Linked DNA regions of Coturnix japonica. The protein of the gene in region 3 binds, or shares a complex with, the protein of the main gene of each other region. Links are inferred from orthologs where the notes say so. Each region holds a gene or a part of one and is shown on either strand. Other genes may lie near its edges.

The links.
Region 1: RBM48 (region 3) and SF3B5 share a complex: the UniProt entries of both Homo sapiens proteins name them as parts of the minor spliceosome. The link is inferred for Coturnix japonica from reciprocal best matches to the Homo sapiens genes RBM48 and SF3B5.
Region 2: RBM48 (region 3) and RBMX2 share a complex: the UniProt entries of both Homo sapiens proteins name them as parts of the minor spliceosome. The link is inferred for Coturnix japonica from reciprocal best matches to the Homo sapiens genes RBM48 and RBMX2.
Region 4: RBM48 (region 3) and spliceosome-associated protein CWC27 homolog share a complex: the UniProt entries of both Homo sapiens proteins name them as parts of the minor spliceosome. The link is inferred for Coturnix japonica from reciprocal best matches to the Homo sapiens genes RBM48 and CWC27.
Region 5: RBM48 (region 3) and CWC15 share a complex: the UniProt entries of both Homo sapiens proteins name them as parts of the minor spliceosome. The link is inferred for Coturnix japonica from reciprocal best matches to the Homo sapiens genes RBM48 and CWC15.
Region 6: RBM48 (region 3) and SNRPE share a complex: the UniProt entries of both Homo sapiens proteins name them as parts of the minor spliceosome. The link is inferred for Coturnix japonica from reciprocal best matches to the Homo sapiens genes RBM48 and SNRPE.
Region 7: RBM48 (region 3) and PLRG1 share a complex: the UniProt entries of both Homo sapiens proteins name them as parts of the minor spliceosome. The link is inferred for Coturnix japonica from reciprocal best matches to the Homo sapiens genes RBM48 and PLRG1.

The regions. Positions count from the first base shown.
Region 1 is NC_029518.1:41,251,368-41,254,153, forward strand, and holds SF3B5 (splicing factor 3B subunit 5), read right to left. Parts: upstream 1,373-2,786; 5' UTR 1,320-1,372; coding exon 1,059-1,319; 3' UTR 837-1,058; downstream 1-836. UniProt on the Homo sapiens protein: Component of the 17S U2 SnRNP complex of the spliceosome, a large ribonucleoprotein complex that removes introns from transcribed pre-mRNAs.
Region 2 is NC_029519.1:1,521,990-1,526,611, forward strand, and holds RBMX2 (RNA-binding motif protein, X-linked 2), read right to left. Parts: upstream 3,156-4,622; 5' UTR 3,107-3,155; coding exon 3,102-3,106; intron 3,020-3,101; coding exon 2,904-3,019; intron 2,756-2,903; coding exon 2,704-2,755; intron 2,626-2,703; coding exon 2,496-2,625; intron 2,374-2,495; coding exon 2,193-2,373; intron 1,779-2,192; coding exon 1,333-1,778; 3' UTR 825-1,332; downstream 1-824. Other genes in the region: SLC25A14 (brain mitochondrial carrier protein 1), read right to left, coding at 1-6, 84-231, 452-515; RAB33A (ras-related protein Rab-33A), read right to left, coding at 3,234-3,689. UniProt on the Homo sapiens protein: Involved in pre-mRNA splicing as component of the activated spliceosome. As a component of the minor spliceosome, involved in the splicing of U12-type introns in pre-mRNAs.
Region 3 is NC_029517.1:20,668,683-20,673,175, reverse strand, and holds the start of RBM48 (RNA-binding protein 48), read right to left. Parts: upstream 2,946-4,493; 5' UTR 2,744-2,945; coding exon 2,618-2,743; coding exon of another isoform or gene 2,528-2,617; exon of another isoform or gene 2,506-2,527; intron 2,448-2,505; exon of another isoform or gene 2,419-2,447; coding exon of another isoform or gene 2,305-2,418; intron 1,662-2,304; coding exon 1,471-1,661; intron 1,345-1,470; coding exon 1,199-1,344; intron 530-1,198; coding exon 9-529; intron 1-8. Other genes in the region: PEX1 (peroxisome biogenesis factor 1), read left to right, coding at 2,528-2,656, 2,946-3,089, 3,183-3,266, 3,507-3,621, 3,711-4,477. UniProt on the Homo sapiens protein: As a component of the minor spliceosome, involved in the splicing of U12-type introns in pre-mRNAs.
Region 4 is NC_029547.1:21,421,295-21,425,180, reverse strand, and holds part of spliceosome-associated protein CWC27 homolog, read right to left. Parts: intron 3,002-3,886; coding exon 2,858-3,001; intron 2,620-2,857; coding exon 2,521-2,619; intron 2,347-2,520; coding exon 2,243-2,346; intron 1,332-2,242; coding exon 1,262-1,331; intron 1-1,261. UniProt on the Homo sapiens protein: As part of the spliceosome, plays a role in pre-mRNA splicing. Probable inactive PPIase with no peptidyl-prolyl cis-trans isomerase activity. As a component of the minor spliceosome, involved in the splicing of U12-type introns in pre-mRNAs.
Region 5 is NC_029516.1:165,900,035-165,904,624, reverse strand, and holds the start of CWC15 (spliceosome-associated protein CWC15 homolog), read right to left. Parts: upstream 3,058-4,590; 5' UTR 3,035-3,057; intron 3,001-3,034; exon of another isoform or gene 2,889-3,000; intron 1,694-2,888; 5' UTR 1,686-1,693; coding exon 1,555-1,685; intron 1-1,554. UniProt on the Homo sapiens protein: Involved in pre-mRNA splicing as component of the spliceosome. Component of the PRP19-CDC5L complex that forms an integral part of the spliceosome and is required for activating pre-mRNA splicing.
Region 6 is NC_029541.1:2,015,940-2,020,413, reverse strand, and holds SNRPE (small nuclear ribonucleoprotein E), read right to left. Parts: upstream 3,109-4,474; 5' UTR 3,003-3,108; coding exon 2,949-3,002; intron 2,417-2,948; coding exon 2,390-2,416; intron 2,008-2,389; coding exon 1,945-2,007; intron 1,852-1,944; coding exon 1,773-1,851; intron 1,097-1,772; coding exon 1,041-1,096; 3' UTR 819-1,040; downstream 1-818. Other genes in the region: MTCH1 (mitochondrial carrier homolog 1), read left to right, coding at 3,209-3,406. UniProt on the Homo sapiens protein: Plays a role in pre-mRNA splicing as a core component of the spliceosomal U1, U2, U4 and U5 small nuclear ribonucleoproteins (snRNPs), the building blocks of the spliceosome.
Region 7 is NC_029519.1:18,056,554-18,061,088, reverse strand, and holds the start of PLRG1 (pleiotropic regulator 1), read left to right. Parts: upstream 1-1,719; 5' UTR 1,720-1,748; coding exon 1,749-1,832; intron 1,833-2,996; coding exon 2,997-3,103; intron 3,104-3,646; coding exon 3,647-3,789; intron 3,790-4,013; coding exon 4,014-4,067; intron 4,068-4,174; coding exon 4,175-4,268; intron 4,269-4,535. UniProt on the Homo sapiens protein: Involved in pre-mRNA splicing as component of the spliceosome. Component of the PRP19-CDC5L complex that forms an integral part of the spliceosome and is required for activating pre-mRNA splicing.

The DNA.
Region 1 (2,786 bases), on a different chromosome or scaffold from region 3:
GTATTTAATAACTACTTAAACAAGAATCTATATATATGAAAATCTATATCTAGGAGATATATTTATCTTTTAGAATTTTTAATTAAAAATAGCAATAGAATAATATGTACACGTTCTACTCCAACCTACAAAGATGGGATAGCTGGCAGAACAAGAACAAGTGAAATTCCTTCGTGACAAACACAGTGCACATCTGCATCGGAAACAAGTTATTTCTCTCACACTTCACTTTATCTGAGATTAAACTACATAAATTTAGGAAAATGAGATGGAGATCACAGTGGAAAGCCAAATTTCTCAGCCAAAACTCAGACTTCTCCCTGAAAGCAGCCTTGCTCATATAATAGAGATGGCCTGGAGGAAGGAGGCGTTCAGCTCTGCCCATGTGCCTTACACTTGTTGCTCACATTGTTTACAATGGCTTGCAAACAGCACTAGTCCCCACATATGTAGCAGGTTACATTTGATTCAGGATCATTTCATCTTTGCCCTCATTGTAGTACATGCAACAACAAAATCTATTCCTGAGTTCTTCAGATGGATATTATGGCTTGAATGTGACCTCAGGAGTGCATGCACTTGTTCTTACTGCAGCATCTTCAGCAGCTTAGATTATAAGGCTTGGTAAAGAGTATGAGGCGTTTATTGCTCAGAAATTCTGAGGTCACCAACTTCAAAAAAGCCACTGGTAAACTCACATACAACCTTAGCCAGGCTTTACTTTGACATTTTCCATTAGGAATAAAACTTCCCCCAAACATCCAACCTAAATCTTCCCTCTTTTAACTTAAAACCATTTCCCCGTGTCCTGCTATTGTTGATTACCACACAACACGTTAGAAACAGACAGCGGATTTTATTTCCCATTAAAAAAAAACCACAAAGGGCGAACAGCCGTGCAACTGAGCGTAACGAAAGTGTCCAAGAGAGGGCGTTACACAGAGCTTCCTTCTCCCTGCAGCTCCCTTCGGTGGACACGAGGATCGGGGCGGCTCCCACCATCTCCCCGCGGCGTGTGGAGTCACAGCCAGCCCGGAGCCGGTGTGCAGGGCAACGGGTTAGGATTCGTCGGGCTTGTCGGCGGGCGGCCCGCACGGCTGCAGCATCTTCTCCATCAGGTTGAAGCGGACGCGAGCCTTGCTCTCATTCTCGGCGATGGCGAAGTAGTTGAGCAGGTCGAAGTGGCCCATGTAGGAGCAGTACGAGTCGCGGTGCTGGTTGACCAGCCACTCCCACTTGGTGGTATCGGCGTGGCCCGTCCCGATGTACTTGGACTGGAGGTGCTCCAACTGGCTGTGGATGGTGTAGCGGTCCGTCATGGCGCTGCCCCTGCAAGTCAAATGGCGGCAGGAAATGACGCCACAGGACGAAGGGATCCTTTTCCGCTCCCATAACGGAGAGCGGGGGGGATTTCGCCGACTATCCCGGATGAGGGGGGGGGGGGGGAAGAATATGCGGGTTTATAAAGGCATGTCGGGGGGTGTAGTCCTAGATTGGACATGTTGGACCATGGAGGTGTCCAAGAGCCAATTGAACGTGGCACTGAGGGACATAGTGATACAGCAGGGATGGGCTGATGGATGGACTTGACCTTAGTGGTCTTTTCCAACCTTAATGATTCTGTGGGCAAAGGCAAACTTTGCAGCTGGGCAGGCACAAGGGCTATGTTTAAGCTAGGATCAAATGTTACCATTGGAAATTATTTTTCTTTTGTTGATGTGGGTAATATTTCATGTGGATATTAAACTCATGAGCAGATAGAAAACTTATAATTAGTATCACCTATCAAACTTGGTCAACGTTGGGACTGAAATACATTCTATGATTCATCAAATAAGTAGTCTTTCTTGATCATAGAATAATCAGATATAAAACTTGTAAATTATAATTTGTATCACCTATCAAACTTGGTCAAAGTTGGGAATGAAATACATTCTATTATTCATCAAATAAGCAGTTTTTCTTCTCTAGTTTTAAAATCCATGTTAAATTTAATAAGTGTGGAACAATACATGCTGTCACATGGGAGTGCTGACTTTAATTATTTGCTTTTAAATAGGAAAGACACGTAGCCAGCAATTTTCTGAGAGGATGCTTCAAGCTATTTCTTTGTAAATGCTGTATAGTCCAAAGAAACCCACGGAAATCTAATCCAGATGATTCAAGGCCGCTTCTTCATAAATGAGCATCTTATGAAGCCAAGGCCATGCAAAGCAGTGTCAAAACAATAAAACAATATAATACCCTAAACTATCTATCTTCTAAGCAACAATCAGTCAAAGCCGAGTTTGAAACTGTCTGGAATTCAGGAGCCGGTCGAGAGTGAAGTGGCCGCTGGGTGTCAGAGCTGTACCGACTCCGTACTCATTGCACGGGAGCTGTGGGTTTCTGCTGCAAGATCAAAAGGAACAGAGTAGATGAGGCAGATGCACCAATAGAGGGTGGTAGTGACTGTCCCCTTCAAGGTATAGCCGTGTTTTCACGTTTCCTGTAGGCTCTTTGAATGAAAAAGACATAGCTGCCCCTCCAAAAAGGGGAAAGGATTACTTTAAACGATAACTGCAATAAAAGCCCACACAGGTGATGAAATGAAGGGTGTCATTTATATATATATATATACATATATATATATTTAAGAAATTCCTCTATTCTTAACCATATTCATTTATTCTGCAAGTACAATAGTGCAAAAAAATTGTTGGAAGTTGTGGTAGCCTAAAATGAATGAAGATCTCTTGTGAGAGAAATTAAATAAGGACAATAAATTAACGTATTTATGTGGGAAA
Region 2 (4,622 bases), on a different chromosome or scaffold from region 3:
GCGATCCTGGGCGGCGGAACAAGCGGCGGCGTTACGTGCCAGCGGGGCGGTACCGCAGCGCGGCCCCTCGGCCCCGCACTTACCCCGAGTAGAGCGCGCGGACGCCTTCCTCGCGGCAGATGCGGAACAGCGCGTGGAACATGCCGCGGTAACGGACCTCGCGGAACCGCGCATCGCCGCTCTGGCCCTGCACCTGCAGCCGCGTCTTCGTCAGGTCCACGGGGAACGTGCCTGCGGGGAGACCGGCCGTCAGCGCCCCGCCGATACCCGCCGGTACCCGCCGGTACCCGCCGATACCCGCCGATACCCGCCGGTACCCGCCGGTACCCGCCGATACCCGCCGATACCCGCCGGTACCCGCCGGTACCCGCCGATACCCGCCGATACCCGCCGGTACCCGCCGGTACCCGCCGATACCCGCCGGTACCCGCCGGTACCCGCCGCAGCTCACCGAACTCGGCCACGATGGAGGCGAGCCCGCCGTACACGAAGGGTTTCCAGTTCAGCGCGGACATGGCATGGCGGGGCGCGCCGCCGCGCCGGGCCGGACACTGCCTCAACTCCACCCGGAACCGGAAGCGCGGCGGAACGGGAAGCACTGCGCCCCCCAGCCGGGCGGACCCGGCAGCTCGGCCCGCAATTGGGATCCAGCGGCACCGCCCGAGAACGGCGGGGAGGAGACGGGAGAGCGCTGCAGGCACGGGACCGACCGGAACCACCCCGAGAGCAAAGCGCAGCTCAGATCCACTGCTGTGCGCTCCCCATTTCTGTGTCAGCTGCCATCAATGCTCAGTCCAAACAGCACAACCGGACACAAGCAGTGCTCCCAGTCATCTCCTCTGGTTAAAGGATCGATTTTTATTAAAAGGAGTTTAAAACAAAAAACGCCATGAACTGCGATGGCTCAGCAGCCTCTGATATCCATCACATAAACAAAGGAAGCAGGACGGGCTGGGGGCACAAAGCACCGTGCCCGCCTGCAAGCACCCACCGCCCCACTGCAGACAGGGACGCTCCCCCTGAACAACGTGGGCAGTTTCGGTGTCCGTATCCTGCTGCTCAGCACCCCACTGCCCACACTGTGCCGTGAGCCCCTCCACAACCGTCTGAGTGATGCCACTGCACAGAAGGGCCGAGCAAGGCAGCAGCAGAGCCCACATCACAGCCCACAGCACTGAGAGCAACCTGTCTGAGGAGTGAACCGGTCAGAGTGGTGTGTGTGAGACGAGACACAGCTGTGGTACCCTTAGGGCCATAGCAGGAGGCTTCAGACAGGCTCCCGGTGCAGCTCACAGAGCACAGCTGTGGCCCAGAAGGTGCTCACTCCAGGGCTCAGTGACGGCTGGAATCTCTGGTGGATCCACGCTCCCTGTGCTTGGAATGGGGCTCTCTGCTGCTGCTCTCCCGCCGGTGCCTGGATCTGCTTCCCTCAGAACACTCTTCTCGCCAGCTGCTGTGTCCCTCACCCTTCCTGCTGACCTCTCCTCTCTCTTCCCGTGAGCTGTTCTGCCCTCTGTGTTCCTGGGAGCTCTTTTCCCCTCTCCTCCCCGACGACCTTTGGTGTCTCTGCTCTTCCTCATCTCGCTGCGTCCTGCTCACGTGTTTCCTCTCAGACTCACTGCAGGACTGCTGACCCCCACCAGCAGCATATCGCTCGTAGCCAGGATCTTCCTTCTCCTTTTTAATCTTGATTCTCGGATGTGCCTCTTCGGCAGGTGCTGCTCTCTTTGCAGCCTGAGAGCTCTGCTTTTGCCGTTCATGTTTATTCTTCTCTTTATCTGAAACAAAAAGGTCATCCTTAGAGATGGACAGTCCTGCAAGCATCATCCCCACCAGTTCTGCTACAGAGCACCAGAGCTCTGTAGAGAAAGGCTTTATTGGAGCCTTTCTTCTCCCTGTCCCCCACTGTCCTGCCCCCTCCCCCTTGCAACATCCCTGCAGCCCAGCCCAACTCCTTTTCTCCAGGAAGAGTGCCACTATAACCTGCAAAATAAGGATCTCCAGAGGCAGGGGGTGAATGATCATAGATAAATACTGGCAGTGTGACGCAGATCACAGAGGATAAGCCTGGACATTCGGGTTGCATCTGTTTTCAAGAGGATCCCTATCCCTGCTGTACGCTGAGCTAAGAGTCCCTGTAGCCCACACAGATCCTCCCACCCAGGGCAAAGATGGGCAGAAATGCATTTCACCTTTTTGCTTTTGGGCTGGCGTGTCTTCATCCTCCAAGGAGGAATCTGACGACGTATGAGGTGGTGTTTTCACTCCGCAGCCCTTTGCATGGAGGGCTTTTGTGACATCATCTAAATCATCGGAGTCCTTGGGAGTCCGGTAGTTGGCCACGTGGTCCACTCGGATCGTCCTGCCTTTGATCTAGGACAGGAGTCAGGTAGTCAGCAAAGCGTGTGCTGTGGGGCCAGCAGCCGATGGAGCTTCTCTCTGATGTGCTCTGAGCGCTCCAGGAGCTGCTGCAGCCACACAGCTCCATCACTCACCTTGATCCCATTGAAGTTATCAACAGCAAGCACGGTGCTCCTCTGATCCTCATAGCACAAAAAGCAAAACCCTTTGGACTTCCCAGTCTTCTTATCCCGCACCAGATTAATGTTCACCACCTCCCCGTACCTGGAACACACCATCAGCAGCCACAGAGCAGGGCTGGAGGGGCACAGCAAGATGGGGATGGAGCAGGTAGGAACTTACTGCGAGAACACACAGATGACGTCCCCCTCTGTCAGCTGGTAGGGCAGCCCGCCTGCGGGGGGAGACAGGGCAGCGATGGAGGCCCAGCACGGAGCCCAGCACGGAGCCCAGCATGGAGCCCAGCACGGAGCCCAGCACAGGGCCTACCACAGCCCTGCTCTCTCCTCCCTCCCCGTCCCCCCATCGCGGCCTACACGTACCGATGAAGACCCACGCGCTGTCCTTGTACTCGGCGTGCCACGACACCGCCTCGCTCACGCCCAGCTCCGCCTCCCGCGCGTTCAGCTCGTTGATCAGCTTCACTTTGGTCAGCGGGCTGGGGGCGATGCACTCCGTTAGCACCGTTAGCACCGGCCGGTCGCACACCCCCCCCTCACCCAGCCCCCATCCAAACCTACTTCATGGCGGCGGCGGCGCGCACTGCGCATGCGCCCCCCTTACCCCCCCGCCTCCGCCCCCGCCCCGGCCGCGCATGCGCGCCAAGCAAAGCAACGAGTCCGAGGGCTCCGCACAGCTTTATTGGTCGGCGCTCAGCACGGACACGCGCTTTTACCGTGGGCGTCACGTGACGGCTCTAGCTTCTGCGCCCGGCCCGGCCGCTTCTCCATGTCGCGATAGAGCAGCGACTTCTGCGCCTTGAGCCGGCAGGCCAGGCACATGAAGATGGACTCCACGTTCTGGCTCTCTTTAGGGTCCTTGGCCGAGGTTTCGAACAACAGCATGTTGTGAGCGTCGGCGAATTTGAGAGCCATGCCGGACGGCACCTGGATCAGGTCCTTCAAGTCACACTTGTTCCCCACCAGCACTTTGGGGACCAGGGGGGACACGGCGTGAACGTTGCACTCCTCGATCCACATCTTGAGGTTGGTGAAGGACGCCATCTTGGTGACGTCGTACACGAAGACCACGGCGTGCACGTTGCGGTAGTAGTGCTCCACCATGCTCTTCCGGAACCGCTCCTGCCCGGCCGTGTCCCACACCTGCACCTATGGGGCACAACACGGCGTGAGCAGCCATTGCTGCTGCAGGATGCTGTGCTGCTGCTCTGCTCATTGCTGTGCTACAGGGGTGAAAGGCCCCAGCCCGGTGACTTACCTGCCCCATGTTGGTGTACCCAGCCATCATCCCTGTCAAACTGCACACAGCACTGCTCGTGTCAGAACAGACTAACACACCAACCCACCTAATGCTGTGCTGTATGAGGACACTGAAATGATGCTCTGTATCCACAAAGGAGGCAGGGCAAAGAGAGCGGCGTTCCTGCATGGAGCTCTGTCTGGGGGAGGAACCAGGCAAACAATAAGGATTAAAGAGCCGAGAGCCATGGAGACAGGGCAGTGTGCAGCTCCAGCCTGATCAGGGAGAGTAAATGGAAGGTGCCCTCTGCAGACAGATGGGAGTCTCATGTTTGCAGGCTTAGGCCCTTCTGGAGGCCTTCAGCCATTCCAGTGTATGCTGGAGGGGCAACACAGCACAGCTTAAAGCGTGAGATTCCAACTTCAAAACTCAAGTGATAGAAGAGCCAGCGAGGGAAGCTGCTACGCTGGGCCAGCTTCAGCAGGGCAGCTGTGAAGGTAAAGCCAACTCATTAACCAAGAGGTGGCTCTGAAAGAGTCCTGTGGGTCAAGGACCTATAGGAAAATGGGACCAAAGAAAGCTACCCAATACTGATGTGCCTCCACCTCTGAGCTGCCCATGTGAACAAAGAGGAAGTCAAGCAAAAATACCAAGAGGTACAAAGAGGAAGTACAGGGAAGGTGGAAGGTGAGACAAGTGACTTGAGAGGAGTACAGACACAATGTCAGAGCACACGGGGAGGTGGTTTAGAAAGAAATACAGCTGGCACTATATGTGACAAGAGATGTTAAAGGCACCAGGAATGGCTTTTCCAAGTCTATAGGGGACAAAAAGAAGGCTAG
Region 3 (4,493 bases):
ATCCATACCTCTTTCAGCTTATTTCGAATCAGCATAGCTGATGTATTCAGTGAATCATCATCCATATCCACCTGAGGTACTTCTGGTAGCTGTGGGCCAATAACGATGTCAGTACTGTCCACGTTTGTTTCAGTGAGGGCACATTTGTTACCCTCTTCTCTCTTCCTCTTACGTTCCTGCAGGTGAGTTGTACGAGGCATAAACCTGTCAATGCCGTTATCAGCTGGAACTGTTCTTTGCTGAATTAAAGGCACTGGTGCAGCACATCCTCCTGGATGCGCCTTCTGAGTTAGGGATGAGCTTTGACTGGAGTTCCCAGAGGTTTCAGCACTGGGGTTGTCGCAGTGGGGAAAAGCCAAAAGGTCCTGACTGTGATTGCCAGAAGGATATTCCATGTTTTGGGACAACCCATGAGGAACTGGAAAGCAGGATGGATCCCAGTGAGTGGCTGCATGTGATCCTGGGGTACTCCACTGAGAATCAGACTTGGTCCTCCGAGGCCTCTCTGTTTTCTTCAACAGAAAGCAGTCTTTAAAACAACAAGAAAAGAAAAGGAAAACAGCTTCATTATTTTATGCCACTGTTAGTTCTAATACATAAAGTGTTCAATACAGTGACAGAAATAATACCAGCAATACTTCATTCCCAGTCACCTTCCTGTGATTCTGCTTAAGCAGCACCTGCAGTGGATAATGATATCCAAGTACATAAGCATAGGAAAGGAGAAGCCTGTGCCTGGCATTGTACTTATTTTACAGCTTGTCCAGCCTTCAGCGCTGCCTGGGAACTCAGCAGCAAAGCTGCCTGTCAGCCCAATCCATTCCTCGTGTTCCTTACTGACCCAAATGACAGGCAGGAAATAAGGGGCAGGGAGGGGGCTCTCTTACTAATCTCTCTTTTTGGGTATGCCTGAAAGAACTGTAACAAGGGGAACAAACTGATCCTCAGTTTCCTGGCAGTACTTAAAATTTCAGGTAACGTTTTGAAAAGAAATGAAGGAAACAATGAGGTTTAAAAGCTTTAAAGTGCATGTTAACTAAAACGTTGCTTTCTGAAAGGTCCATCTCTAGGAATAACTGAGAAATGTCCTAATGTAAAACAGCTAAACACAGTATATTTTCATCAATGGATGCTTTTGGCTTTACCAAGACGTACCAACCACTGGAATTAAAACTGGACATGAGATTTAACTACAAACCTCTTTGATTTGTTGCTTTTGCAATATACTTCCTTCTGTCCTGCAGCTTCTCCCTGGTTTCTTGGACTGTTTCAAATTCTGGAGCGTAGCACACGTGCAGCAAACTCCCAAAGAAACTGCGCTCATCCATCTTCTTCTTGGCCACCCTGAAGGAAACTAAATGGCATTAGCAGAGCTGAGGGTTTTACTTCAACTCTGTATGATGTAGATCATACATAAAGGGGCCGTGAAGGATTAAAACAACAAAAGGCAGATAGTGCTGTGTATAATACCTGGCACATTGCAGATTCTGGAATTTTATCAGATAAACTTCAGTGAACTGCTCTGCGGGATATTCATCAAGTGCATGGTACTCTTCTATGGCTCCGTACAAGGCAAACTGCTCCACTAACTCCTTCATGACGCCCAGCGCAGGAACTCCCTGGATTAGTAAATAACGCGATTCCAAGTTGATGGTGTACACCTGAAAGAAGCACAGGACAATCACAGAATTGTAGGGGTTGGAAGGGACCTCTAGAGATCATCAGTCCAACCCCCTGCCAAAGCAGGCTCCCTACACCATGTCACACAGGTAGGCGTCCAGGCGGGTCTTCAATATCTCCAGAGAAGGAGACTCCACCACCTCCCTGGGCAGCCTGTTCCAGTGCTCCGTCACCCTCACTGTAAAGAAGTTCTTCCACACATTAATGCAGAACTTCCTATGCTGTAGTTTCATCCCATTACCCCTAGTCCTGTCCCCACGCACTACTGAAAAGAGACCAGCCTCACCACTATGGCTTCCCCACCTCAGGTATTTATAAACCTGGATCAAGTCCCCTCTCAGCCTTCTTTTCTCAAGGCTAAACAGACCCACTTCCCTAAGTCTCTCCTCATAGGGGAGATGCTGTTCAATGCTCTAAAATGCCCACGTTTACCTCACTGCGAAAACAACAACTCAAAGCGTTCGTGCTGCCCGCTGTGTGGAGCCACCGCGGGCAGGGATGAACTCAAGCAGGGATGAACACATCACAGAACATCAGCTGGAGCTGATGCTTCTCCAGATGTCAGAGCACCGACACCTGCGGACTAAACAAGTCTCCAGCAGCCCACCCGCCCTCACCCCGCACCTTGACGGCCCTGGGTCGCCGCCCCTCGCGGTACTTGGCCCTGGACCCGCATGCTCCCAGCTGCTGGTGGTGCCTACACGCCTCCCCCGGCCCGCCAGCACCGCCCGCCGCCATCTTCCCGGCCGCCACCGCGGCTCCGGTCGGCTCTTCCGGGAAGGAAGTGGGCGCTGCCGAGAAGCCGGGCGGAACGAGCAACTACAGCCCGGCCCACCCGGCTGGCGGCATGTGGGGCAGCGGTAACCCCGGCGGAGGGGCCGCTGGAGTCGCCGCGGTGACGGTGGTGCTGAGCGGGACCCGGGACTGCTTCCTTCACCTGCCCGCCGTGCTGGCCTCGCACCTCCGCCTGCAGCAGGTACGGGGACGAGATGGGGGCGGCCCGTTCGGAGGGGATTGTGGGAGAGAGGTTCTCCTTCCTCCCCCCATCGTATCCCGTCATCATGGCGGTGCTCAGAGCCCTCCTCGAGAGGACGCACAGTCACCACAGCGACAGCGCAGGGCAACCAGCCGCCCCCCGCACTGTCGCTGTGGTGACTGTGCATCCTCCGAACGGGCCGGGACCCCTCGCCCCTGGACCCAGATGGGTCTGAGTATTTCTGAGTATGATTTGATAGTAATTCGTTTCATCTGCCTGATAATCACAGGGCCAAGCTGTCAAAGTATCCTGCCGTGATGAGCCCATCTACCTGAGCTGGATGGAAATGAGGCATCGAGGTCAGCGGGGTGAAAATATCGCAGAGATGAACAGGCATTTAGCAGAGAAGCTTGGCATTGCAGATGGAGAACAGGTTTGAAATGCAGGTCCCTTTTTTGAGTTTCTGAGTAGAGGTTTTATGTGTTTAAGGAGTTAAATTATTCAGAAATAATGTTGCTTCTATCAGGTGTTCGTGGAGCCCTGTTCACACGTCTCCTCCTGTCAGCAAGTAGAAGTGGAACCGCTCTCAGCAGATGATTGGGAAATACTGGTAAGAAAACCTGTCCCACTGTTCACATCATTTTCATGCAAATGACAGAGAATGTTGATACAAGCTTTTGTCGCAATCCCCCGTTCTTTTCTGCTCCTAAGCAAATGCTAAGTCTTGTGGGTTTTCATTGTATTTTATGTTTCAAATGGTGTATTAGAAAAAGATGTGAATCTTCTATGTTCAAACACATTTTAAAGGTTGTACAAGTGTGTAGCTTACAATGATACCACACTTTCCCAGGAACTGCACGCTTCCTCTCTTGAAAAGCATCTTCTGGACCAGATCCGAATCGTATTCCCCAAAGCCATCTTTCCTGTTTGGGTTGAACACCACACTCACGTTTACATCAGAATTGGTAAGCAGCAGTGAATGCTTTGCTGGTGCCTTGAGTAAGCTGTTTTGCAAGAGTGGATGCATTCATTCATCTGATTTATCCATACTCAGGTACACTTATGCCAGCAGCCCCCTATGGGAGATTAGAACCTTGCACGGAGCTTCTGATCTGCCCCAAAGCGCGTGAGCTTGAGGAAAACGTCGTAGACATGCCTTCTACAGAAGGTGACATCTTACTCAAGAGCTTTGTGAAGAATAGCATGGAGCAAGACGTAACTGTAAAGGAGCCTTTTGCCAGTCAACCTCACTTAAACCCAGGAGTCCCTGAACAGAGTAAGGCTGATGCAAATGTGACGTTTGGCTCAAGTGTTCTCCCAAATATGTGGAATTTCATAGGGAGCATTTTCTCTCGTACAGCTGAACAGAAACAAAAGACTCTGTGTGATAAGGATGAAATGAGCGCCTTCAAAGACAAGCTGCTGAACTTAATTCACATGGATTCCATTTTTAGAGTATGCCAGTCCCAGCCTCCCAGCGTACAGAACGCATCAGCTGTTCATGCATTTCTGAAACACGGTGCCATTCATGTTTTTCCACAGAATTTAGAATATACTGATTTGGATCCAAATGCTGTAGTAACTTATGGGAAAATTAACGGGCTGCTTTCCCCCAGACAGCGTCATCAAGAAGCAAAGCAAAATCTGCCATCTGAAAAGCAAAAACATTTGACTAGTACGCAAGACAAAAAAAATTCCAGTAACATTCAAGCGTCCAGTGAGGGGTCTGTTGTTCAGATCGTTTGGAATGGATTTGAAGACCTAAAGAGTGTCATAGAGTATGGCAACGGTGGGGAAGCCCTACATGTTGGAAGAGTTTGGGTCAGTTTGAGCACAC
Region 4 (3,886 bases), on a different chromosome or scaffold from region 3:
GTCTGGAGAAGAGTGGGCCCAGGAGATCTTGCATCTCTCTACAACTACCTGAAAGAAGGTTGTGGTGAGATAGGGGTCTGCCTCATCTCCCACATAACAAAGCCTGTAGCTTTGTTTAATTAGTTACTTTCAGATTTCCCTAAGTTGGTAATTTTACCACATTTGACAACCCCCAAAAAGTCAACAGAACAATTTCACAGCACGACAGCACCAAAACCGAGCTTGTCAGGAAATAGATGTTTAGTCTAGATAATTTTAAAATGAAGAGCAAGTATTTGGGGTAAGTGAGAAGAACACAGCGAACAAGTTGAGTACAATATTGAAAAACAGACAAATATGGCAGAATGTCAGACAAACATGCTCTTAAGGGATGTAAGCATAGTTAGTCAGACAGGTTAAGTCAAAACCGGGAAGCATCAGAATTAAAACTACTGTGATAAAGCTCTTCTATTAACCTAACAGGCACTACCTTGTGCATTGTGTACTGTGCATTGCTGTATTCACTGTTGTCCTCTGTACCTAATTATAGGGTTGAGGATAATTTTTTTATAACTGCACAGAATTTAATATAATGTAGTCTCATCACTAACAGAAAAATGTACTTGGATGGTACAAATAAGTTATAACATCTGGAACTCTAGAGAAATAATTTGGTAAATAGTAGAAATGTGGATGGCAATTTGCAAAAAACAAATTAAAAATTAAACAAATGTGGGAAAGTCCAATCAGAAAATATTAAAGACTACCTATGCCACCCAAGTTCTGTGAATTCGGATAATTCATGTGTAACAATTAATTACAATAACATGATGATTTTCCCACAATAACACTTATTCTTTGTACAGAATATACTCACATAAGAAAATAGAACTAAGATTTTCCTGATAATGATGTTTACGTGTTTCAACTCTCAAGTGCTTTACCATCAGAAGACATCCTTGTAATTAAGTGAAAAAAAAAAAAGTACCTGTCACTTTATTAGACAGCAGAAATAGCTCTACACTATGAAACATGGAACCATTTTTATATTTCTATAAACACCACCATGCAGTAACTGAAGGCACCTTCTACACTAGAAAAATTAAAACGTTTTTTTCTGGAAATCAAAATAGTAGAATTATAAAAATAAAGGTAATTTCTAGTATTATTGTTCAAAACTTGAAAGTAAAAACAATACAAAGAACTTTAAAATTTTTCGTAAGCATGTAAAAAAGATAATCTTAAATTGAAAATCAAGATGAGGATGATATTGGTATGATACCTGACTAACTCTGTTGACCTCCTCCTCTTCTTCTTCAGCTTCTTCCCCAAATGAAAGCAGATTAAAATTTCTTGAAGAGAAAAAATACATTTTCTATTAAAACTCTTTATTAACATTTCATAAACTTCAAACATGCAACTTCCATTTTCTTTGAAATCTTGTTTTAACTATTTTTCCTGCTAAACATACCAATTCAACAAACAACCAGTGTTGAGGGACATTCCTGTTCTACAACTGAGATGGAACTGACAGGGCAATTACAAACTAGAATGCTTTAAAGTTACTTACCTAGAAAATGGTAAGACTGAATATAAAATTCTGCCATAACTAGCTTCCAGAGACTTAAATGCCAAGATCACTTTATTATTACTGTTTTTTAATACAGCAACACTACAGCAGTAAACACAAAATTCTCAAGACACAACAGCTCAGGAAAGCAGCAACCACAAATACAATTTCACAAATGTATTTAGAAGAGATTGTGATCTTCAATGCTTTTTTTTTTTTTTTTTTTAGTTATTTTTGCACTGGCTTAGAAACAGCTAGTTGCAATACAATCTGCTCCTGTCTAATAAATGTGTAAATATACCAAATTTCATTCATAAATGAATGCATTTAAAAAGCATTTGAAATTTAAAAACATTTTAATAGGAGAAAAGTGGTAGCTGATAAAATAAATTAAAAATCTAAAAGAACTGCACCCAAGTTACTAATATGTATTAACTTCTGCATCATCTCAGTCACAAATGATTGCATATTCTTTTTGCCCATGGCTTACACTCTCCCTTGCACAGAAACTACTCAAAGCACAGTAACTACTCAAAGCAATTAATCTCTATGATCTCTTAGCAGTTAGGGTTAGGTCTAACATTAGAGAACGTTCTTCTTGCATTTTGGTTAAATCTTTGTTTCAAATAAAGAACAACCAAGCTGCTATTTGAAAGTAAAAGATTAATTATGGCTCATGCTGTATGTATTTACTTTGTGCCTTTTACTTTGGGCTTTTTATCTTCTTCTTCTGGTTTGTCCTTCTTCAGCCTTCTATTTGGTCTTGGAACAATATCATCAAATGGATTAAACAAAACCTATTAAAAAAAGAATATTTTAGTCACATCCCTAATAAGCATTCTTAATTAAATGATCCAATGATTCAGTATTTTAAAAACAATATATAAAAGACACACCAGGTTTTCACACCAGATCCCAGTTTTCTTAGAAATACAAAAAAAACATCAAGTTTTAAAGAACAGCATACCCACCTCACTACTTCTTATCTTATGCGGACTGAGTGGTCTTTCTTCTTTGTCAACTTCCACTTCAGCTAGCCGCAACATGTTATATATTGTATCTCCTGTAACCTATCAGATATACAGGAAAAGTTTGAAACTACTTAAGTACTTCTGCAAAACGCAAAGCAATTATTACAAGACAATCTGAAAATACAATTGATACAGGAAATACTGTAGGCATACAAGACTTTTAAAAGGGAGTAAGTACAGATATCTAACAAAAACAACACTACAAGAACATTCAATAATAGAAGAACATATATATGCTTCTATCAAACTCAAACTGAGACTACTCTGTGTAGCAGACCTTTCCAAAGATCGTGTGCTTGTTATTAAGCTCATCTGCACGGCCCAATGTAAAAAAAAACTGACTGCCATTATCATGGGGTCCTGCATTTGCCATAGCAACAAGTCCTCTTCGATTAAATCGCAATCGTGAATGGAACTCATCCTGGAAAAGACAAAAAGAAGTATGTAACTACCATAAATTAACACACACTGACAAAAAACAAAGAGTTCAAATAAATTAAAAATTCAAACATTAATAAAACCAAAGTAATTTATATCTTAGTAACAAGACTTTAAACTTCTCTTTAGAGCAGAAAAAATATTTTAGTCTACTTTTTCTTCTTACTTTCTATAATAATACAAATAGGCAAACAAAATTATTTCAAAACAAAACAAAAACAAAATCAAAGCACATAGGAAAACACAGCTAACAAAATCTGAAGAAAAAGTTTCGAAGCTACTCCGCTAATAACAGAAACACAATCTAAGATAAATTAACTTTTGCTAATGTTTCCCTTTTTCTAAGTATTGCCTAATACTCATCACTACTGCAGAAATTAGTGCTCTAGCCAATAGTAAAAGAAAAAAAGAAAAAGAAAGCACTTCTTAAAGTAATGGCATTACAGGTAATTCTTGTAAAACCATTATTGTAGTTAACTGCTTCATTTGGCAGAAATCCTGAGTCATGTAAAATAACCAGAAGTTCAGTAACTTTGTAATAGTATGGTATTACGGTATTACTCAAATCCAAAGGAAGAACATTTTCAGGACCATGAGAAAACAAAAGAGGGCACCAAATGAAGATGATATTGATAAGTAATGCATTAATACCACAGTAGTATAAAACTCCTAAGTGCTTTCACACTTAACAATAATACCAAATTAAAGAAGTGTTGTTACTACAGTATTAGAAACATTTGTTTTGATGTTTTCTCAGGCAGCGATCCCTCCCACAAACTTCAGATTTGCATTACAATTACAGCTGTTGGACTGAAGGCCCAGAAAGGTCACACAGGTTCAGTCGCCAGCTAAAGATGTTTACCCTATC
Region 5 (4,590 bases), on a different chromosome or scaffold from region 3:
AAACTAGAGCATGCTGCTCTCTAATATTTTCTCCCCATAAGACAGAAGAGACAATGTACCACTGCAGGGGAAAAAGAAAAGAAAGAAATATGGAGGGAATGAGCACAACAGTCGCTTTAGTAAAACACAAGTGCATCTTTTCCCCTCTTTTATATAATATACACAGGCAAAAATCAACAGGCTGCTTTCATTCAAGTCACACAAAGTTCCACCTAGAACATGCTGGACTTCTCTGCAAGACTTGAGAAGAACTGATGAATAACAACATGCAGCAATTCCTTTCACCTTGCTGTGAACTCAGGTTTGGAAATAAGAGTGTCTGAAAGAAACCCAGGCTCCAGTCATTAGAAATACACTGCGTGCACAAGCTGTCTTTATGCTGAAGCATTTCATTTGCTTTTACAATTAAAAACTTGAATTCAGAATCCCTGACATGGCTGCAAAAATCCCCCCCAGGCCTTTTGTCAAAGAGGCACGGGAGAGTGGGACTGAAATACCAAATCTTTCTTGCAATTATGCAGCCCTTGGCAAATTAGCAAAGACAACTTTGTATTTGATATTTGGGAGAATGAACTTAAGATGCTTAATGCCCCTTCACACACACATACACACTCACTCAAAGGGATTCGTTACCACACACACATCGTATATTCCTGTATGTATTTCTTCCCACACACTCATTTCAGAACAACAGACTGGTGCTCCACACTCCCGCTCTGTTTAAAGAGACAGACCACCAGCCACTTTTCCCTTAATAGCACATTTTGTGCTGTTGCTTTTGGTGATCTCTGAACATCCCACCTCCCGTATCCATGTTACCTTCAAAGTTATTCAAATGGGTGGAAGGGAAGCAGTGAAAGGGTAAATATCTGCACTAAGAAAGCAAAACCCAAGCAACAGTTTAAGCTAGAAAAAAAGACTATTTTCAGGCTGACACAACTCAGTTAAATCCTGTGGCATGTTGACTCCAGATTTCATGCTATCTTAAAAGAACATAAATTATTAAGCATTCCAAACACAGGATAGTATTCATATAAAATCCCATTATCTTTCACACCAGTTAAAGCAACAGGCTCTTCTAGAACCCTTCTAGTGTTTAACATCAGCTCTTCCAATACTTACTAATGCCTGAGTGCTGTTACACATTGCCCTGCCTCTTCTTAGTGCTCTTCCCCAGGTTCTTTGCCAATATATGACATACTCAACTTCATACCTCCTATCCCATCTTGTAAGTCACACCACCTTTCTAGCTCAGCTGTCTCTGTATGTTCCCAATGCTTTTCTTTTCACTCCATTGCCTGAAATGCTTAATCTGTAAAGATTACCTTCTCCTGATTCCCTTCCACAAGCAGTTATTGACACCACTAAAACTAAACCTTCCAAATCAGTTGCAACCCACTCAATCTCCTAAGCCTGCTTCTGTGTCTGCTTAATGTCAAGCAAACAAATATCTAACGTGAAAGAAATTCAGAGTGTTGGTCACATCACAAAGAAAGAAAACAACAAAACAGCTCCAGGCTGCTTTGCTATAAGACAGACAATAACGATACTTACCTGTATTTGATTTTAGTATGAGAGGGAAGGTCTCTGCTGGAATACTGCTTGGATAGCTGACTTAAGTCTCCTTCACCTTTTCCTCTCCCTCCTCTTGCAGGCTCAAACGTTGGCCTCGCTGCTGTCGTCATTTTAGTTACTAGAGTCAAGGGCAAAAAACAGTCATTACTATAACTTAAAGTGAAAGCCATTCACCAGAAGCTACGTCATTCTTGGAACTGCTGCAGCAACAGCAAATCCCACTACACAATACAAATTATCAACTGGTGCATGAGCCTTAAAGCTTAAGAGCTTCTTTTACTGACAGCTTCTTTTCCAACATGCCTGAAAGATGATAGAGACTCAATCAAGAATGTGAGGTCATGTTTATAGAAGTGGATAAAATGCCAGGAGCCAGTCTCCTATCCTTATATCTTGGTAGAAGAGTAATTCTTTCCCCTCTGGAAAAAAACACAGGATCTAATAATGAAATCACAGAACTGTGGGGGTTGGAAGGGACCTCTAGAGATCATCGAGTCCAACCCCCCTGCCAAAGCAGGCTCCCTACACCACGTCGCACAGGTAGGCGTCCAGGCAGGTCCTGAATATCTCCAGAGAAGGAGACTCCACCACCTCCCTGGGCAGCCTGTTCCAGTGCTCCGTCACCCTCACTGTAAAGAAGTTCTTGTGCACATTCGTGCAGAACTTCCTATGCTGTACTTTCATCCCATTACCCCTAGTCCTGTCCCAACACACTACTGAAAAGAGACCAGCCTCACCACTATGGCTCCCATATAACTGATGCCAAGAAGTGCTCAGCACTGCACAAAGCAGCTGGAGGCCACGCAGACCCAAACCATAGAGCCAAAAGTTTAGGGCAGTCCACCAAGAAACAAACAAAACAAAAGAATCAAACCAACCAACCACCCTGGATGACCCATCAGTGCCATCTTCAGTCTGTTAAACGAAACTACACACATCCATAAGCACAGCCTAAGGACTTAAATAAGAGACATACAAAAGGTGGTGAGGCCCTGGCACAGCTGCCCATAGAGCTGTGTGCCCCATCCCTGCTCAAGGCCAGGTTGGATGAGCCCTGTGCAGCCTGAGCTGCTGGGGGCAACCAGGGGTTTGCTCCGATCAGGTTCCATCAGCGCAGCATTGGAGCAGCCCCGTCAGTGCCGCACAACGCCGGCTCGGCTGAGCCGCCTCCATCGGCGCTCTCCCAGGCCCGTCCAGGCCGCCCCACGGCCTCAACCTCCCTCCCGGTGTCCCCCCAGGCTGCCCACCACCCCAGGGCCGACCCTCCACATTCAGAAGCCCCGATTTAATCCCTTCAATCCCCCTTCTCTGACCTCGGGGTCTCCTCCCGCTGAGCAGCCGGGCCCTACGCCACCGCCATCATCCCGCCCTCTACCCACAAGGCGCCGCGCAGCCACCACAGAGCGGAGCGGCGGAAGGAGGAACTACCATAGAGATGGAAGGCGGAAAAACTTGTTACCTCAGTGCGGAATTGAGTCCGCCATGTTCGATAATGAAGTGGAAATAGACGCTGTTGGTGCCTGAGTGGCACCTGCTGTCCGCCCTGAGGTACAGCAGCACTGCGTGTGAGCTGTGCTTTAAAGTCGTGTATGACTGTGAGCAGTACACACACCCTGCTGTGCTGCCATAGAACCCTTGTGCTGCTGCTTTTCTGTGTGCTTACAGAGTCATCCCAGCTCCTCCCGGCTGCCTCCCACCCCGCTGGTTCTTTGGCTGTTTGTGCTCAGTCACAGCTCCTGCTCCACTGTCTGCCTTTGCTTCCTGATGGCTGCCAATGGCTTTGCAATGAGGAAGAGACCTTGTGACTATTCTCAACAGAGAAAAATCCACGAGTCAGCAAGAATTCCCTGCAAAAATAAGCACAGAACCTGAACTAGGCCCTTCCTAAGCACCCAGGAGAGGCTCACAGGGGAACGAGCCATCCCCCTGCAGCCCACAGGCACATCTCGCATCTCTCATACTGTGTCCAGGTGTGGAGCCCTCAGTACAAAAAAGACATGGAGATTTTGGAAAGGGTCGAGAGGAGGGAAACGAAGATGATCAGGGGACTGGAGCACCTCCCCTATGAGGACAGGCTGAGGGAGTTGGGCTTGTTCAGCCTGGAGAAGAGAAGGTTGTGGGGTGACCTCATTGCAGCCTTTCAATACCTGAAGGGAACTTACTCCCAGGACGGGAGTAAACTCTTCGAAAGGGCTGATAATAGCAGGACTAAGGGGGACATGTTTTAGAGATTAAAAAGAGGGAAAGATATTTTAGGCATCCTCAACGCGCACTCGCACTCTATCATACCAGGGGGAAGTTCTTCACTCAGGAGAGTGGTTAGGCCCTGGAACAGGCTGCCCAGGGAGGTTGTGGATGCCCCGTCCTTGGAGGTGTTCAAGACCAGGTTGGACAGGGCCCTGGGCAACCTGATCTAGTAAAGGTGTATGTTTGGTGGCCCTGCCAGGCAGGGGGTTGGAACTACATGATCCTTGAGGTCCCTTCCAACCCGGGTCATTCTGTGATTCTGTGATCTCCGTATGCAGACATGGAGGAGCCCACTGTGCAGCAGTGGAAGAGTCCTGGAGGCGGAGCAGCCCCAGGCCAGGGTGCAGCCTGTGGAGAGGAGCCTACAGTGGGGCAGGAGGGCTGGGGGAGCTGCTGCCCGTGGGGCTGTGCTGGAGCAGTTCCCCACCCACAACATGATGTCAGCTGAAAGGCACTCAGCAAGGGAGGGAGGAGGGTGCTGGGGGCATGGGTGGCACTGAGGAGCACACAGTTCTGCCGCTCTCTATCACAAGCTCGTCCCTGAGGATGAATTATTGTTTCTGCAGAGTCAAATGGTTTCTTTGAGCTCTGACAGAGCAATTAATTTTAGCCATGTGATATTTACATGCAGATGAGCTGCTGGGCTATATGTCACTCAGTATCTGCATCCAGTGTTAGGCAAAAATGCCCCACTGTGGGAATTATTAGCCAAACAGCTATGCTAAGGACTAAGCTAATTTTACCCTTTTCTCAATGCTGGCTGACAAT
Region 6 (4,474 bases), on a different chromosome or scaffold from region 3:
ATGACTCGAAGTGCACAATTTGGAGTTGGCAGCAGCACTACTGATAAGAAAGAGCTGTTTCTCCTAATGCCCACATCTCACAAAGCAGGCACAAGAAGGAAGAACAGACTCTGAGTCAATGCTACCTCAGTGGCCCTAAACCAGACCCAAGCAACACAAGGCAGCAGATCCCCTGGCAAATAAGCTCTCCCCAACTCCATACCTGTACGGTGTTTTCCATATCCACACAAAAGGAAAAATGATTAACAGAAAAACAGGGGATTGCTCATCCAAGCAAAAGGGAACTGATCTCTGGCTGATGGACTAAGAAACTCAGCTCACTTATGGAAACTTAAATAGGACAGATCCTTACATGGATAATAGTGATAAAATCCAGCCACATCTGACATCCCAGCACTAGGATTTAATGCAGAGATGCTGCCCAAAGAAGAAATTATAGATTTAATCCCAACCAGCTGCCCTATCTAATGATGATATTTTACCAAAGTACAGCTATTAATATAGTTTGTGATGTCGGATCACTGTATCACAGCCTCAAATCCATCACCAACCCACTGATCCACCAGAAAGCACCCAAGGAACCAGCTGTTTTGACAACAAAGGGTGGTAATTGCACGTAGAACCTCTAACAAACTTAATTAGAGCCATGCATGCTCAAGCCTGACAGTGACACCAGAGCCTGTCCTGTCTCATGTTGTAACTACCCAAAAAGCACAGAGCTATCAGGAACTTATCGGACCAACAGCAAATCACTTGATGTACATTTCTCTGCCTTCTCCAAGCATAGAAAGCTGAGAATAAAACCATGCAGATTTCCGTTTACAGACAACGTGAAAAATGTTTATTTGGGAAATACATCCCTTATTGTTTCAGACTACAAAAAAAATCACTCCTACAAAAGGAGGGGACTTTGAGCTCAGCATGCAATGCCAGTTACATGTAACTTTCTATCTACCAGCAGGGGTAGATCTCCCACTGCACCTTCTTCATTCACTCCAAACCATTCTGAACTGCAATCACTGCCCTAAGAACAGCGATTTCTAGTTAGAAACACTTTGTAGAAGAGTGATATTGTCTCCTTTTAACATGATCCGACCTGCAACACAGAAAGGAAATGGGGGATTAGAGAGATCCCAGAATCCAAGAATACCTCATGTTTTCACATATTATCCCACAACAGGAGATGCTTGCAAGAAGATGCCCCTATTATAGAGGGGGAGGGTTGCAATGAGTCCTATCCCTGCTGGCAGCCCCATATGGAAAGCATAGCAGGGCAGGGTCCATACTCATAATCCACTCCCAACTCTCAGACACCATCTCAGCCCCAGCAGAACACTGTCCCTGCTATAAACTCAATCCGAATCAACGCATCCCCTCATCACAGACAGCTTTATCTTCTCCAGCAGCGGTAAATAGTAAATACCACCAGTCAGGTGGCTCCTGCTTTGGCCAAGAGTTGACCCAGCAGGTACGAGAATTGCTCAGGGCTACCAAGTTTAGAAACAGCCCAAAGGAGTTTGGACCAGACTCCTCCAGACACCTCAGTTGTACAAAGACAGCATTTAAAAGATAACAACTGGTCTCAGGCACAGGGAGATTCTCCTTTACATTCAGCAAAATCATCACCTTTAACAAACATCAGGAACAAAGACTGAGCCAGCACCTGCCCAATGCTCTCCCAAACCAACACCTGGCATGTGCTTTCCACCTTTAAGTGTTGCTACCAGCAAGGCTCACCCAACCACCTTTCATGCTATAACACGTTGACATACCCAGCTGCTTCCTTGATTTTGTTTTGGAGTGAATCTCCTCTGCATCATCCAGCACCAGGTTCATATATTCATCGAAGCCCTGAAAATCAGTGGCAAAAACACTCAGTTGGTAGCACACAGACTCATGAACGTGGGAAAGCCAATGGTAACACATGGACATGTTGGTACTCACAATGATGCAGCCTTCTATCCGCATGTTCACCTGCTCATAAAGCCACACCTGGATCCTGGACCTCTGCAAAACAATCAGGGTGAATAAACTGGAAAAGAAATGCTTCAAGCAATGCTGGTCTTTGCTTCTGTGCATTTAAGAAAGCCTTGCTAGTAATGTGGTGAGAAATCTTTGCAACCAACAGCCACTGCAGCTCTGAAACACCCCAAAGAGCAACTCCCAACACAGAACCTTGTAGGTGTGGGTTATTGAGTGTGTGTTACACACACAGGGGCACAATCAACATACAAAGGTGTTAATGCAAAGGGAGAACGCTCATCTCTGAGCCAGCTCTTATGCTCCCAAACAGCACCAGTTCTTCGTTTGAAGCCGATGGGCTCCAAAAGCAGCCAAGAAGTTACAAACCCAAAGGCGAACCCAGCCCTGCCCCGGCCCCAGTACTCACGTTCTGCAGGTAGCGGAAGATGAGGTTCTGTAGAGCAGCGTTAAGGACGGGAACAACTCCAGAGAGACACAAGGCCCTGCAGGGCCGCTCCTACCCTCCACTCGCCATCGGCCCCAGAGACGCCATAGGCTCCATAGGCCCCATAGACCCCACAGGCTACATAGGTCCCACTCGGCCCCAGAGACCCCACAGGCCCCAGAAACCCCATAGGCTCCATAGGCCCTGCAGGCCCCAGAGACCCCATAGGCCCCACAGGCCCCATAGACCCCATAGGCTCCACAGGCCCCACAGGCCCCACAGGCCCCACAGGCTCCATAGGTCCCAAAGGTCCCACTCGGCCCCAGAGACCCCGCAGGCCCCATAGGCCTCAAAGGCCCCACAGACCCCATAGGCCCCATAGATTCCCCCATAGGGCCACACACCCCATAGGCCCCATAGACCCCACAGGCCCCATAGGCCCCATAGGCCCCACAGGCCCCATAGGCCCCATAGGCCCCATAGGCCCCATAGGCTCCATAGGCCCCGCAGGCCCGTCCCCTGCCCCTCCGGACAAGGATACGATGGGCTGCACCATCACCTTCTGCACCTTCTGGCCCTGCCCTCGATACGCCATGGCTACTCCCTGCCCGCCGCCACCACAAGCTCCGCCGGAAGTCGCAGAGAACACCGGAAGCCGCTGAGCAAGGCGGGAACGCGCAAGGGACGCTGGAAGACTTGCCGCTCTAGGAAAGCGGGAGGACCGCGTCTCTACTGCTCGCAGATCCCACCAGTGCTGTCTCGCATTAAGATCCCGCCCACCAATACGCAAAGAGGCGGCGCATGCGCAGTGGTGGCGGCGGCGGGGCCATGGCGGGCGAAGCTCCGCTGCCCTCGGTGGCGCTGGCGCCCCCTGGCGGCGGGTCTGGGCCTGGGGTCGGACCGGGCCGAACCGACGGTACCGAGGGGCTGTTCGTGGCTCTGGGCGCTGGGCTCGCCGCCGTCAGCCACCCCCTGCTCTACGTCAAGCTGCTCGTCCAGGTCCGGGGCCTAAAGGGGGTGTGGGGGGGATGAGACCCCCGTGTGGGGGCAGGGGGGAGGCCTGAGGTGTAGGCCGAGGTGTGAGGGGGGGTCGTGGGGCGTCTCTATGGGGTGACGGCCTGTGTAATGATGGGGAACCCCATAGGGAACTATGGGGACCCTGTGCAAAGGGAACCCCCCATATGTGGCAATGGGGGTTCCCTCCTTATAATGTGTTGAGGGGGGTAATGGGGGGTGACGGCCTGTGTAATGATGGGGAACCCCATAGGGAACTATGGGGACCCTGTGCAAAGGGAACCCCCCATATGTGGCAATGGGAGCTCCTTATAATGTGTTGAGGGGGTTAATATGGGGGGTGAGGCTGTGTAATGATGGTGGAACGCCCATAGGGAGCTATGGCGGACCCTGTGTAAAGGGAACCCCCCAATATGTGGCAATGGGAGCTCCTTATAATGTGTTGAGGGGGGTAATGGGGGAGTGATGGCCTGTGTAATGATGGGGAGCCCCATAGGGGGCTATGGGGACCCTGTGTAAAGGGAACCCCCCATATGTGGCAATGGGAGCTCCTTATAATGTGTTGAGGGGGTTAATATGGGGGTGACGGCCTGTGTAATGATGGGGAACCCCATAGGGGGCTATGGGGACCCTGTGTAAAGGGAATCCCCCATATGTGGCAATGGGGGTTCCCTCCTTATAATGTGTTGAGGGGGGTAATGGGGTGAGGAGGGTCGTGCTGTGTGATGGGGTGGCACTCAGTCACCGTTATCTGTGTGTATGGATCCCACCTGTAGCTGTGAGGATGGAATGGGGAGCACTGTGGGAATTGGGATATTGCTGCATCAGGGACAGCTGTATAACAGGGAATGGGAACTCATATATAAACATATATACCAAAGATAAAGACCAACGTGTGCAGTGGAGGCTTGTTTATGTGACAGGTGAGGGGACCCCATAAAATGGGATGGATGAAGATACCCACACAATGGGGATTCCTATATAACAAAGGATTGAATGTGGGTCTTCATCCCTCTTCATCCTCAGAACCCCTCTGTAATAGGGAACCCTATA
Region 7 (4,535 bases), on a different chromosome or scaffold from region 3:
AGTGATGCTCAGTCTCTTGACCAAGGCTTACAGGTAGAGGAACAGTGGAGATCTAACCTGGGACCGCACTAGATCTGAACCAGGAACTTGACATTGAATTATCCTTCCTTAGTCCATATGAATCTTAACGATATTTGTCTTGAATTTATTCTGAAACCACCACCATATTCTGCAGCAACTTTAGGTGTCCTTCTTCAGGCACTCAATGATCTTTGGTCTGTGGTGGCTGTGTCCATGCCAAGCATGTTTGGCCTGGGAATCCCCCAGCTTCATCAGCCTTCTGATAGGATTTTCCCTATGAAATTCAGCCTTTGACCCTCCCCACTCCAGTATTTTCATTGGCTTCCCAAAGAGAGTTAGCCAGCTGTGTCTCCTCGGGGAATTACCAGGAACCACAATGAATGAACCACATGCCCATTGTGCCAAGACTGGTGTGCGGATTTGGGTTGAAGAAGCATCTGTCCTAGAAGGAGCCGTGTCTGTACCACAAGGCTTTTTCCTGAAGAGGCTTTTCAGCAAAGCTCCACCTGCATGGGGACATGACTTACACTGGCGAGAAATGCTTCTAGCATGAGTCAGAATCTGGAACTGCAGGGGGAGCAAGGTATATTGGAAAACATACATGAATATAACAAATATTTGGGGAGCAGGACCTAATCTCCATTAGTTGGCTTGCTGGGTGTGAGATGGGACTTTTCTTTGATGCTTGCAACTGTTACAGCTAGGCTGACACTGTATAACGACTGGATAAAGCCTTATGAACAACCAAGAACATGGCTTAATCTTCTTCTTAAAACGGTGTCAAGGAGGCTTTGTCTCCAAACAGAACATCTTTCTTCGTTGTGTTTTCTTCACTTCCTCCCCAGCTCACATGGTTAATGAGAAACTCTTCCTGAACTCACGTAGTGTTGATAATGCAACAAATCTGCTATGAAGAACTGCGAAAAGAAAGCATTGACCTGATGGTATTCCGGTATCTCTTTGTAGCATTCCGAAATGGTATTCCAGAACATCTCTTTGTACACTGCTTTTGTCCTGGAGAGCTACTTACTGGCAGAGGTGTATGTGTGTGTTTTTAGGAATGAATTTTCATGTGCCGCCTCTTGTGTTTGCTTTGCCAAATCATCTGCCCATGGTGCAACACTCTTTACACAAACCCCATCCTTGTATGTTGGCTCCTTTAGGCTGAACACATCACAGAGGTAATTTGGGCCAAGGGGGAATAGAGCCATCTTGGGCCACTGATAAGCTGTGCCAGTAAATGTGATTTTGAAAGGAATCCAGTTGTTGGCAGCTGATTTAGAAACGTCCTTGGAAGCCGCTGGCGTTGTACATGTCACACTGTGACAGGGTTACTGTAGAATTAGATGTTCAATTAGATGTAAACGTTTGGGGGGGGGGGGGTCTTTAAAAAAAGAGTGTAATTACAGGCCTCTGTAAAATCTAAGGATGCTGTAATAAGTAGCACATGTAAGTGAAGTTTTCTTACAAAACACAGATCTTTCTTTTCTCGGATTGCTACAAAGGTCTCTATTTCAAGGAGGTTTTCCTTTCAAGATGCACTAAAAACGAGCCCGATTCACTCAGCAGACGACAGCACGCAAAGTGCCGAGACTGTAAGTTCAAAACAAAACAAACCAACATATTATTATTAAAACAAACCAAGAACAAAACGCCAGTGCAACACCGCACCCTGGCGTTGCAAGCTCCTCAATGCAGCCCGGCGCACCCGATTTGCGTCACTTCCTATGAGGTATAGAGCAGGAGCCGGACGTGTCTCCATCGCTGTCGGTGGGGAGCGGGGAGCGGGGAGCGACGGCGCCATGGTGGAGGTGAGGGCGGTTCAGTTCTTGTGTTACTGAGTGTTGTTGGTAGGAGCACAGAAGATGCTGTGCAGTTCTCCTACGTAACAGTTCTTTTACTGGGTGTCATCACTGTCCAGAGATATCTATAGTTGTTCACCTCCTGTTGTGGAGGTATTGAGTTACCTATTGCTTTTATTGCGACAAGCAGACATTTGCTACTGTAATTCCTGTTTCTTTTTGCAGTTGCATGGAATTTCTAGTTCCCAAGCCCTATTATAGATGTTCTTTATTTGATATCTAGATTTTACAGGACCGTCCTGAGCTAAAAGTTTTGTGTGGGCCCTACTGAGTTAGGGGAGTATGAAGTGTGGCAGAATGGGGCAATGAGTGGGTAAGCAGAGTCCAGGGCAGGAAAGCAGAGCTTAGTGGAGGAAGCCCCAGCTTAATGGAGTGTGGAGGCTGGGCAGCTGAATGGTAACTAGAGCCCGAAGTTCTTAATGCTTCCACTCTGTGTTGCTCCTATTTGTGACATACAGAGCGAGCACAAAGAGGCTCATACTCTGATTATCACATCTCTAATTATTTATTTATTGTGCCTTGAGAGGAAGGTAGGAATTAAAACCTGAATTGCGCGGTCCTAAACAAATATTCTATATAAGCTAATAGCTTTAAGTTCTACTATTTTGGCCCTGACTGAGATATTAACAATTATTAGCTTTTAGTAATGTGTAATTTCAAAAGGACAAGAGGCTTTGTCTTATTTGATCCCAGGATTACTTCTTATAGTAAACATCACTGTTCTTACATAGGGTGACACTGTGCAGAAACTGATGTTCATTTTTATGGAGGTAGTGCAATAAAGGAATGTTTTCAGAATCAGGTACTTTATTGTTTAGGTATAAAAGCATCTAGAAAACATGGAAGATAAACGTATTCATGTATTTTTAGATGATAGTGCAAATTTTTTCTGGCTTGTCATTTCTGAGAAACTGGGTTTTACTTTGAGCAGGCATTGAATTAAAACAACTAATAGATATACTTGAATCTGTAGTTTCTAAGAGGAGCAGTGTTTGATGGGAATAGTGTTGTATCATATGCAAGTCTGAAATTGCTACTCAGTTTCTTTTTCAGATTTCAGTTTTTCATTTAAACGTGGCTAAATTTATTTAAATATGCTTTCCTTTATTTTAGGAAGTCCAGAAGCACTCTGTGCACACACTTGTGTTCAGATCTTTGAAGAGAACCCATGATATGTTTGTAGCTGATAATGCCAAACCTGTACCATTAGATGATGAAAGGTGAGTGCTGTGGCTGAGTTTTACTTTGTTAGCAATTGTTCTATAGAATCATAGAATCACCAAGGTTGGAAAAGACCTAAAAGATCATCTAGTCCAACCGTTCACATTACTATTAGCTCCCGCTAAGCCAACACAACATCCAGTCGTTCCTTGAACACCCGCAGGGTCGGTGTCTCCACCACCTCCCTGGGCAGCCCATTCCAGTGCCTGACCACCCTTTCTGAGAAGTAGTAGTTCCTAATGTCCAGCCTGAATATCCCCTGCCACAGTTTGAAACCATTCATCTAGTCCTATCACTAATGACAAGAAAGAAGAGGCCAACCCCCAGCTCACTACAACCTCCCTTCAGGAAGTTATAGAGAACAATCCTATCCAAATCAGGAGTTTGGGTGTTCAGTACAATTAGCAGTTAAGGGAACTGAAAAGCATGAAGATTGTAATGTTAGCTGTATGAAAGGTTTCCTGTTTTTTAAAATATTTCAAAACTTAGTAGCAGTTCAAAAATCAGGATTTAATCAGGATTATGCTCTGTTCTTCCAACAGCCACAAAGTAAAGATGGCAGTCAAGCTGCGTACTGAGTACGGCTCAGTATTGCACATGCCTACTCTTAAAGAAAACATGAGAGAGAAAGGAGGCCCAGCCACTGGGGATCCATATGGACATAAACAGTATTCCGGAAATGAAGGTTTGTTATTCCTAGTACCATGTTTGTTCTTTGTTTTCACAAGGAAACAGTAGGAGACTTAATTCATTAGTAAAACAAGCAAGTTTTAAGGTAATGCTAGTGTGTGCTATATTTGGGTATTAGAGAGCTAATAAGGGTTGAGGATGTTGTCAAATTGAGGATGCTTTGCACCACCTACTCTGTTGTACTGTTTTGTTTGAATGCGTTATTTTGTTGGTCTTTAGGAGAAGAACTGGAGTATGTGATAACTGGCACACATCCATATCCACCTGGGCCTGGTAAGTAAAATTCTGTGTTTAAATCAGGTATTTCAGAGTTAAACTGAGATTTTTTTTTTAATTATTTTTTTAATTTTTTAATTTAATTTTGTTTTTTTTTTTTTAAGGTGTGGCTCTGACAGCAGACACTAAGATCCAGAGGATGCCGAGTGAATCTGCAGCTCAGTCCTTAGCAGTATCTCTTCCTGCTTCTCAGTCCAGGTACTGCTTTATTACTTCATTAACATTTGCATAATCTACAAGAACTACAAGTCAAAACAAAGTACTTTGAATATTCAGCTTTATAAAATACCTGAAAACCTGATCTAATGGTTTGCAACCTTGCCCATGGCAGGGGGGTTGGAACTAGATGACCTTTAAGATCCCCTCCAACTTAAGCCATTCTGTGATATGATTTTAAGTTGGTCAGATATCATCTTGGTGTATGCAGTGTTCTTTCTTGGCTGTCATTAGAGGCAGTGGACAGAA